Canis lupus familiaris: one gene and its partner. Each later gene encodes a partner of the first gene's protein in a complex. Links are inferred from orthologs where the notes say so. Each region holds a gene or a part of one and is shown on either strand. Other genes may lie near its edges. The genes, in order: PRMT5 and WDR77.

Region 1 (4,609 bases):
GTAGGTAATTAATAAGGAATTCTGAATAAACTATAGACTTTAATTAATAATAATGTATCAATATTGGCTCATGAATTGTAATAAATGTACCATACATGCTAAGATGTTAATAACAGGGTAGCCCTGGTGGCTCAGCAGTTTACCGCGGTCAGCCCAGGGCATGATCCTGGAGACCTCGGATCGAGTCCCACGTCGGGCTCCCTGCACGGAGCCTGCTTCCCTCTGCCTGTGTCTCTGCCTCTCTGTGTCTCTCATGAATAAATACATAAAATCTTAAAAAAAAAAAAAAAGATGTTAATAACAGAGAAACCTGTGGGGAGGCAGATGGAAACTCCGCATTCTACCTGCAGTTTTTCTGTAAATCTAAAACTGTTTTAAGAAATAAAGTCTAGTAATAATAGTTGTTGTTGTAGTAATATCTGCAAAAATCAACTGAAGATTAAGATGAGACAACCCCATTAGGCTTCATAAGCATTTTCTTCGTTGTTTGGCTTTTTGGACTTTCATCCTTCTGGAGCTCTTACATTGCACCCAGGGCTCTTATCCTATCCACACCGTTTCCGTGTTTCCAAGGACCTTGTCCCTGACTGGCCCGGATGATCTCATTCAGTCTAGGTCACTCTTTACTTCGAGGTCGCTACCTCTCTTCTGGCCATTTCCAAATCTCATCAGGTCATAACACTGTTCATCCAACTCTCTATTACACAGCGCCCCCTAGGCGTCCAATTAATTCAGCATTTGCAAGCCGAACTGATTGTCCCTTAACCCACTTTTCTTTCTTGTTTCACTCACAGAGAGGCCAGAACCGAGACTCCTCTTTCTTGTGGCTCCCTGCCTAGCAGCCCCTCAGTTCTGTCAATGCCGCTTTCTTCGGGCCTTCTGTAATGTGTTCTCTTTCGATCCCCGCTGCCAGGCCCTCAACACCTCTGGGCTGCCTGCTTCCAGGTATTCCCTTTCTCTCCGTGTTTTTCCTTGCTTCATTCCTCTCCTTCCGTTCCACGCCTCTACAAGAATGTAGATATGTTTTCCCAGCCCTCCTCCAGGCAGTTCATGACTCCTCACCATGAGTGTTGTGTGTGCGCGCGCGCGCGTGTGTACCTTTTGTGTCTGAGATATAGAACCTGAGGAATTAGTGGCTTAGTTGTCATAATCTATTTGTAAATACACTAAGGTCCATACAAAGCCCATTTTAAGAGCAGCAGCCATTAACTCAGTTCTCTCAGTTTAGACGGACCCGAGCAGTGACACAAGAACCATCTCTGAATTAGGTAACAGGAAAAGCCGACATAAGATGGCTGCAGAACTCAACCAAAATAAGACTTGAAAAATGAAGGTGTGAAAAGTTACGAAGCAAACTTCCCAAAGTGTAAGGAAAGGGGTAGACCTAAAAGACGCTATCTAAGGCCATGTTGCGTGAGGTGCAATAAGGAAACCACCGGTCTCACTCGAGCCAGCCAGGAGTCGAACCTGGAATCTTCTGATCCGTAGTCAGACGCGTTATCCATTGCGCCACTGGCCCGGAGACAATTGCTCTCGGCTCAGTGATGATAGTTCAAGCTTATGCTGCAGGGTTTCATGGGACGCGTAGTCCCCCAACGGAGTTCTACGAACACAGGCGCATCATGGGAGATTGAAGTTCGTCGAAAACTACATCCCGAGATTGGTGGATCTTACGGAGCCACGTCGTACGTCACGGGCGCAGCCAGCGGATTGGCGGAAAGAGCCACTCCCCACCCCTCGGCCTCCCGCTCTGGAGCAGTGGCAGACGCTCTGGTTGTTAGGACGACTCATTCCGCCTTCCGGGGGCTTTTTTCTGGCTTTGTGATTGGCTGCTAATATCAAGGCATCCCGGCGTGGACGGCGCGAGGGAAAAGATGGCGGCGATGGCGGTCGGAGGTGCCGGTGGGAGCCGCGTGTCCAGCGGGAGGGACCTGAACTGCGTGCCCGAAATAGCTGACACTTTGGGGGCTGTGGCCAAGCAGGGGTGAGGGTCCAGACCTCCGCAAGCGGAATGCGGGCTCCGAACTCGGGGACGAAGAGGGACAGACTAGTCATCCCCGAAAGGCAGGGGTGAGGGGGTCGGAGTGGGTAAGATTAGGGCGGGAGAAACCATTACTCCTTGGGGGAGGATGGGGAAGCCTTAGGCCCTGGAGCGTGAAACAAACAAACAAACAAACAAAGAAAAACAAACAAAAAAACTTGCTGGGGCGTGTGGCCACTGAGCCCCAAAGTCAGGGGAGTTGTCAGGTAAACTCAAAAAGAGGACTACAGACCTCCAGGGCCCTGGAGAGCGGGATTATAGTCTGAGAATGGGAGAGAGTGTTAGGGGCTAGGGAGAGAAGAGAAACCTTGGGGGGAAGCATGGGCGGTACTGAGGCAAATCTGGATGTGACAGTCTTGGAAAACCGGTGACAACAGAGTAGAAAAGCCACTTGGCGTGGATTTTTATCTTTTTTCCTTTTCCATGCTTGTGTTTTGGGGAGAAACTGAGGCACAGTGCAGCGGAAGTAACATGCCCCAAGGCAGGCTGAACTCAGCAGTCCAGTCGGGTGACTGATGGCAGCAGAAAGGGTTGTGCAGAATTGAGATAGCCTAATCCAGTTGCTTGGATCTCTGGGCACTGCTGCTCTCTTTACATGACGATTCTGGGTCTGTCGCGGTTGTAGGTTTGATTTCCTCTGCATGCCTGTCTTCCACCCGCGTTTCAAGAGGGAGTTCACTCAGGAACCTGCTAAGAATCGGCCGGGCCCCCAGACACGATCAGACCTACTGCTGTCAGGAAGGGGTAGGGACCATCCCATATGCCCCTTAATTATTAGAGGCAATAACAACTTCTGCTTTAACAGTGCCCTCATTCTCCTCCTTTCCTGACTTGGATATATTGGTTAGTCCTGGGACATAGATAACTCTTGTTTTCTCCTTGCTTACCTGCTAAAAAGCCTTACTCTATTCTGCATCAGGCTATCCCACATCTGTGATAGAAAAAGTCTTTGTTTCTCATCTCTACTCTCTATTCCCTGTTAAGAATTAGAAATTGAACAAGTAAAGCACTGAACCTCATATAGTTTTGTCTTTCTTGGATGGGGGGAGTGCAGACTGGAATACGCTAATTGTGGGAAAGCTTTCTCCATGGATTCGTCCAGACTCAAAAGTGGAGAAGATCCGCAGGAACTCTGAGGCGGTAAGACTGTTTGACTTCACTGGCTCTTTCTAGAGATCAGGTCCATAACCTAGCTGGGTGCAGAGAGCAGTTTTTTTCCTCCCATAACTTAGTAAATCTAATATAATGCAATTAAACCTATTTGGGTTGCTAACTCTTCATGTCTTCTTGATCTCCATTTCCAGGCAATGTTACAGGAGCTGAATTTTGGGGCATATTTGGGTCTTCCAGCTTTCCTGTTGCCCCTAAATCAGGAAGATAACACAAACTTGGCCAGGGTTTTGACCAACCACATCCACACTGGCCACCACTCGTCCATGGTATGGCTTGAGGGCTTCTTTTTCTGCTGAATATTATGGTAGTCAAGCTGTGCTAGGTACCTTCTTGTTCCTAGCCATTCAGTAAACGGTGCAGTTGGCAGAACTGAAATGTCAGTACTGGCCACCACCATCTAAAAGTGGTAAGCAGAGGGTTAGAAAACATAGAATGTACAATTATTTCTAGAAACTTATGGCTGCAATAAAGGACAGGGCAGATATTTACATATGGATATACACAAGATAAGTTTATATGTACATATAATCAGAACTTGGGAAAAACATATAAAAGGGTTAACTTGCAATCTGGATCAAGATAATTGAAGGAAGCTTTCTGGACCCAATGAGTTCAAAATAGAGTTCTAAATAGGGTACTTGTTCACATGCAGTTCTGGATGCGGGTACCCTTGGTGGCTCCAGAGGACCTGAGAGATGATATAATTGAGAATGCACCAAGTACACATACAGAGGAGTATAGTGGAGAGGAGAAGACATGGATGTGGTATGTCTCCTTTTGCTGCTATACAGGGCAAAGGGTACGGGGAGGGGAAGTATAGGGTAGAGCCTGTTGTGTGTGTGGGGGTCTTCTCTAGCTATGGCGATTGGTGGGCATATGTATTTGACTGTTTTTTTTTTTTTTTTCTTCCTGTATTTCACCCTGAACAGGTGGCACAACTTCAGGACCTTGTGTGACTATAGCAAGAGGATTGCAGTGGGTAAGTCTACAAGGGCCCTGGGATAGGTTTCCCTTCTCTGACCTCCTGTGAATAAGAATCAGGGGTTTCAGAGATGCCAGATGAAGTGTGTGCATTTTTGATAACGGTGTACTTCTGGTGACTTTACAGTTTGAGATATTACTTTATCAATTTTTATAAAAATGCAGAATTTTATTTTTTAAAAAAGCTATGTTGTTAGCACACAGAACACTTGTTGTTTTGGGGCAAGGGCATATGTCACTAATAGAATATCTCCAAAGCTAGATTGATACTGGGAGGGATGGCGGGGAGCACCCTTCTAGTTTTGAAAAACTTCCTCTTGGTTCCCAGGAGGAGGGATTCCTTGATATTGACAAAACATTAGGCACTTTGGCATAGATGCCTTAGAAAAAATAAAATTCATTTTTTACGTCCTC
Region 2 (3,364 bases), on another chromosome or scaffold:
TGAGAAGCTCCTTCCCAGAGCTGGGCTCTAAGTCTTGTTTCAGATCCCTCTTCTCTCTTTGCAGGCTGCACTGCCTCTGGCTACCTTCCTACCTCCCTGGCTTGGCATCCTCAGCAGAGTGAAGTCTTTGTTTTTGGTAAGGCGGCCTGTCACACAGCGTTTTGATTCTGGGAAGGGGGAGGATGAGAGCACGCTGACCCTGTAAAGCACAAAGCCCTGGCCGCTCAGTCTCACCAGCACACCTGAGCATTATGTAAATTCTGCCAGTGGTGAGGTGGGAAGGTGGAATGATCCAAAAGTGATTTTAGTTTGACTTTGCAAAATGTGATGACTTTTTTCCTGGTAGATTTGATTCCTGAGTATGTGCTTCAGCTCCTATGTTTTGGGTGCAGCCAGAAGTCAGTGGATCACAACAGAACAAGTGGATTGCTACGTAGAGAATTCTGTTGTAGAGTGGGGGTAGCTCTCATGCTCTCACAGCGATGAGGCTGTACCTGTGATGACATAGTTTGTGGTTAAAATAATAACTACCTCGTTCATTAATTTTCACAACCACCAGTGACTAATTATCCCCACTTTGCAAAAGAAGAAACTGATGCACAGAGTGGTTAGCTTGTGTAAGGCTGAGGGACTAACATTCAAATCCAGGTCTGGCTGACTCCAGGGCCCATGCTCTTACCCACTGTGATGGGCTCCCTGCTTTCTCTAGGTGATGAGAGTGGGACCGTCTCCCTGGTGGACACCAAGAGTGCAAGTTGTGCCCTCAGCTCAGCCGTGAACTCCCAGTGTGTCACTGGGCTGGTGTTCTCCCCACACAGGTACTGTCCTTTGTCCCCAGGGGCCTGCTGGGTATGAATGGGACAGTGCAGGGGGATGCTTATGTTTGCAGAGCATTAGCCAATTAGGTCATTCCTTAAAGCAGACAGTGACCTAGCTGAGGTTTCAGAATGCTAAAGATCTCTTAAGACCATAGTCTTTTTTTGGGTGATGTAGTGTCTGTCTTCACATGGCTGAAAGCTGGTCTTGTTCCTGCTCAGCACCCAAAATGATGAATATTGTGAGCTTCTGAGACTGTTGGGTGGGAAAACTGTGTTTTTGGATTATTGCTAAAGCTGCAGGGAGGGACCAGATGGGATAGTTAGTTGCCAGGATAATTGTAAACTTGGCTTGTTCCATTTCCCTCATCTTTCCCAGGAACTTGTAACGTGGAGTTGAGTGGTAGCCAGACCTTAACCCAAAGTGAGGATCAAGCCACCTCCCCTGGGTCCCGTTAGGGTGGGGGCTGAGAACTAGACTGGGCAGGATTCATCTTGGAACCATGGCTTTACCTGTCATAACCCTCCCCTTGCTCTCCTAGTGTTCCCTTCCTGGCCGCTGTCAGTGAGGACTGCTCACTCGCTGTGCTGGACTGTGGCCTTTCTGAGGTGTAAGTCATCAGGAATCGGGGAGAAGAGCTGTGGTTGACTGGGTCCTTTCTGTTTTCATTAAAGTGCACCGAGTACGCTGTCTCACTCAAGGGGACTAGGTAATGGCAACCGGCTGACACGACTGTCTCCCTCTTCCTGGGGCTGACTCACAGCCAGTTCCATCCCTGGTCAAGGAGGGGTGTGGTGGCAGCTGTCCCCCAGAAAGGGGCAGTCTGCACTCTTCACATACAAGGCACGTACATGAAATGGGCCTGCTGTGGGGTGAAAGGCAGCAGAGTACTGGAATTATACTTTCTTCTTTGCCAGGAGTTACTTTCTGATCCTGGCCCATGTTACTACCTTTCTTTAGCCACCACTTTTATATGGAATTAGGGCGCAGGATCGAGTGAGAGATGAGGTTCTCTATGGATAACCACATTGCCACGCATATGGTGAAGTTTATGTAACACATCCAGAAAGGTGTCCTGGTTGTGTTGGATTCTCTCTCTTCTCCACCTTTGCATTTTCCTCTTGTCTCTCACCATGCCCAAACTTTCCTTTTTTCTTTTTTAGGTTTAGAAGCCGAGCCCACAGAGACTTTGTGAGAGATGCTACGTGGTCCCCGCTCAATCACTCCCTCCTTACCACAGTAGGCTGGGATCATCAGGTCATCCACCACATCCTGCCCACAGAGCCTCTCCCAGCCCTTGGACCTAAGAGTGTTGCCGAGTAGATTGGATTTAAGACAAAAAGCGAATCCCCCATGAGTATCCCTTTGCCCCTGCCCTCTCAGCCTGTGAGACCACACAGGAGCCTTACAGTATGCTCTACACCAGATCTGGGCAGTTAATAGGCATTGTCTCTTGGCCTGAGGGACGCTGGATTCTGGGATCCTGTAGTCATAGGGAAGACCAGCGTTCTTAAAATTGGATATGTAGGTGTGTCTGAGTGTGTGTCTGTAGATACATAGTTATTGGCGGTGGGAGGAATTAAGTCCATCTTAACGTCTTTCCAAGTTCTCCCCCCACCAAAAAAAAAAAAAAAAAAAAAACCCACAAAGTTCACAAAAGGGTTTTATGCTTCCTATGTAGCTGTGCATGAGGAAGTGGCCATGACTAGATGAGGTATGGGATGTGGGGCATCCCTGGATTCTTGGAAGCAGCTTATATACTACTCATGGAGATGGGAGCAACTTTATTTTTTATAGAACTTAGTCTGCCTTTTTCATGGCAGTGCTTCATTCACAAAAATCCTGCCCAGCTCATCTCAAGGAAGAGCCAGGACACTCATCATAGTTTTGCACATCTCTTTGCCATTAAACGGAGTAAAAAATGCATTTTCTGGCTGTATAAAATTTTGGCTGGTGCCTATATTATGCTCCCCCCTGCCCCCCCCCCCACCTCCAACCCCGGCCCATGGAATTGTATATGTGAAAGATGAATGTTTTCCTATCATAGATCCCATGGAAAAAAGTTGGGATGATGGAGAGCTTAAAGGCATTTCAGTTAAGTTAAAAACTGACACAGACTTGGAGAAAAATGTCTGCCATGATTCCCACTGAAAAACAGCTTGAGGCCTGACCTCTCCTGGCCTCTGGATCCCATTCTCTGGACATAGGAGGTCTGAATGCTGTTTTTGTGGACTCTGAAGATTTTAAAGTGCAGCATCAGAAAATCAGAAATACCAGTTGGTGAAATAAAAAGTGTTGGCTTCGTTGGCCTGTCTTTGGAAGTTAGACATATCACTATATGAAGCATCAGGATATCATGACCCAGGATTTGTGTGTGTGCTTCCCTAGCCCCTTAAGAGTAGCTAGTTGGAATTTAAATATTGGGTTACTTGGGTTGGTGGACTGGCTACTGCCAGAAGTCCTGGTTAATTACTGATTATGAAACTAAATATAATCAGTTATGTACTTTGGTGCTTTGCAAGTTTAGCTCAGCTACAGTTGCATGAAA

What was found.
Region 2: PRMT5 (region 1) and WDR77 share a complex: the UniProt entries of both Homo sapiens proteins name them as parts of the methylosome complex. The link is inferred for Canis lupus familiaris from reciprocal best matches to the Homo sapiens genes PRMT5 and WDR77.

What each region holds. Positions count from the first base shown.
Region 1 is NC_049229.1:3,377,587-3,382,195, reverse strand, and holds the start of PRMT5 (protein arginine N-methyltransferase 5), read left to right. Parts: upstream 1-1,742; 5' UTR 1,743-1,874; coding exon 1,875-1,984; exon of another isoform or gene 1,985-2,011; coding exon of another isoform or gene 2,012-2,070; intron 2,071-2,666; coding exon 2,667-2,785; intron 2,786-3,065; coding exon 3,066-3,181; intron 3,182-3,345; coding exon 3,346-3,480; intron 3,481-3,866; coding exon 3,867-3,979; intron 3,980-4,143; coding exon 4,144-4,193; intron 4,194-4,609. UniProt on the Homo sapiens protein: Arginine methyltransferase that can both catalyze the formation of omega-N monomethylarginine (MMA) and symmetrical dimethylarginine (sDMA), with a preference for the formation of MMA.
Region 2 is NC_049227.1:41,102,159-41,105,522, forward strand, and holds the end of WDR77 (methylosome protein 50), read left to right. Parts: intron 1-64; coding exon 65-136; intron 137-709; coding exon 710-818; intron 819-1,357; coding exon 1,358-1,426; intron 1,427-1,979; coding exon 1,980-2,139; 3' UTR 2,140-2,742; downstream 2,743-3,364. UniProt on the Homo sapiens protein: Non-catalytic component of the methylosome complex, composed of PRMT5, WDR77 and CLNS1A, which modifies specific arginines to dimethylarginines in several spliceosomal Sm proteins and histones.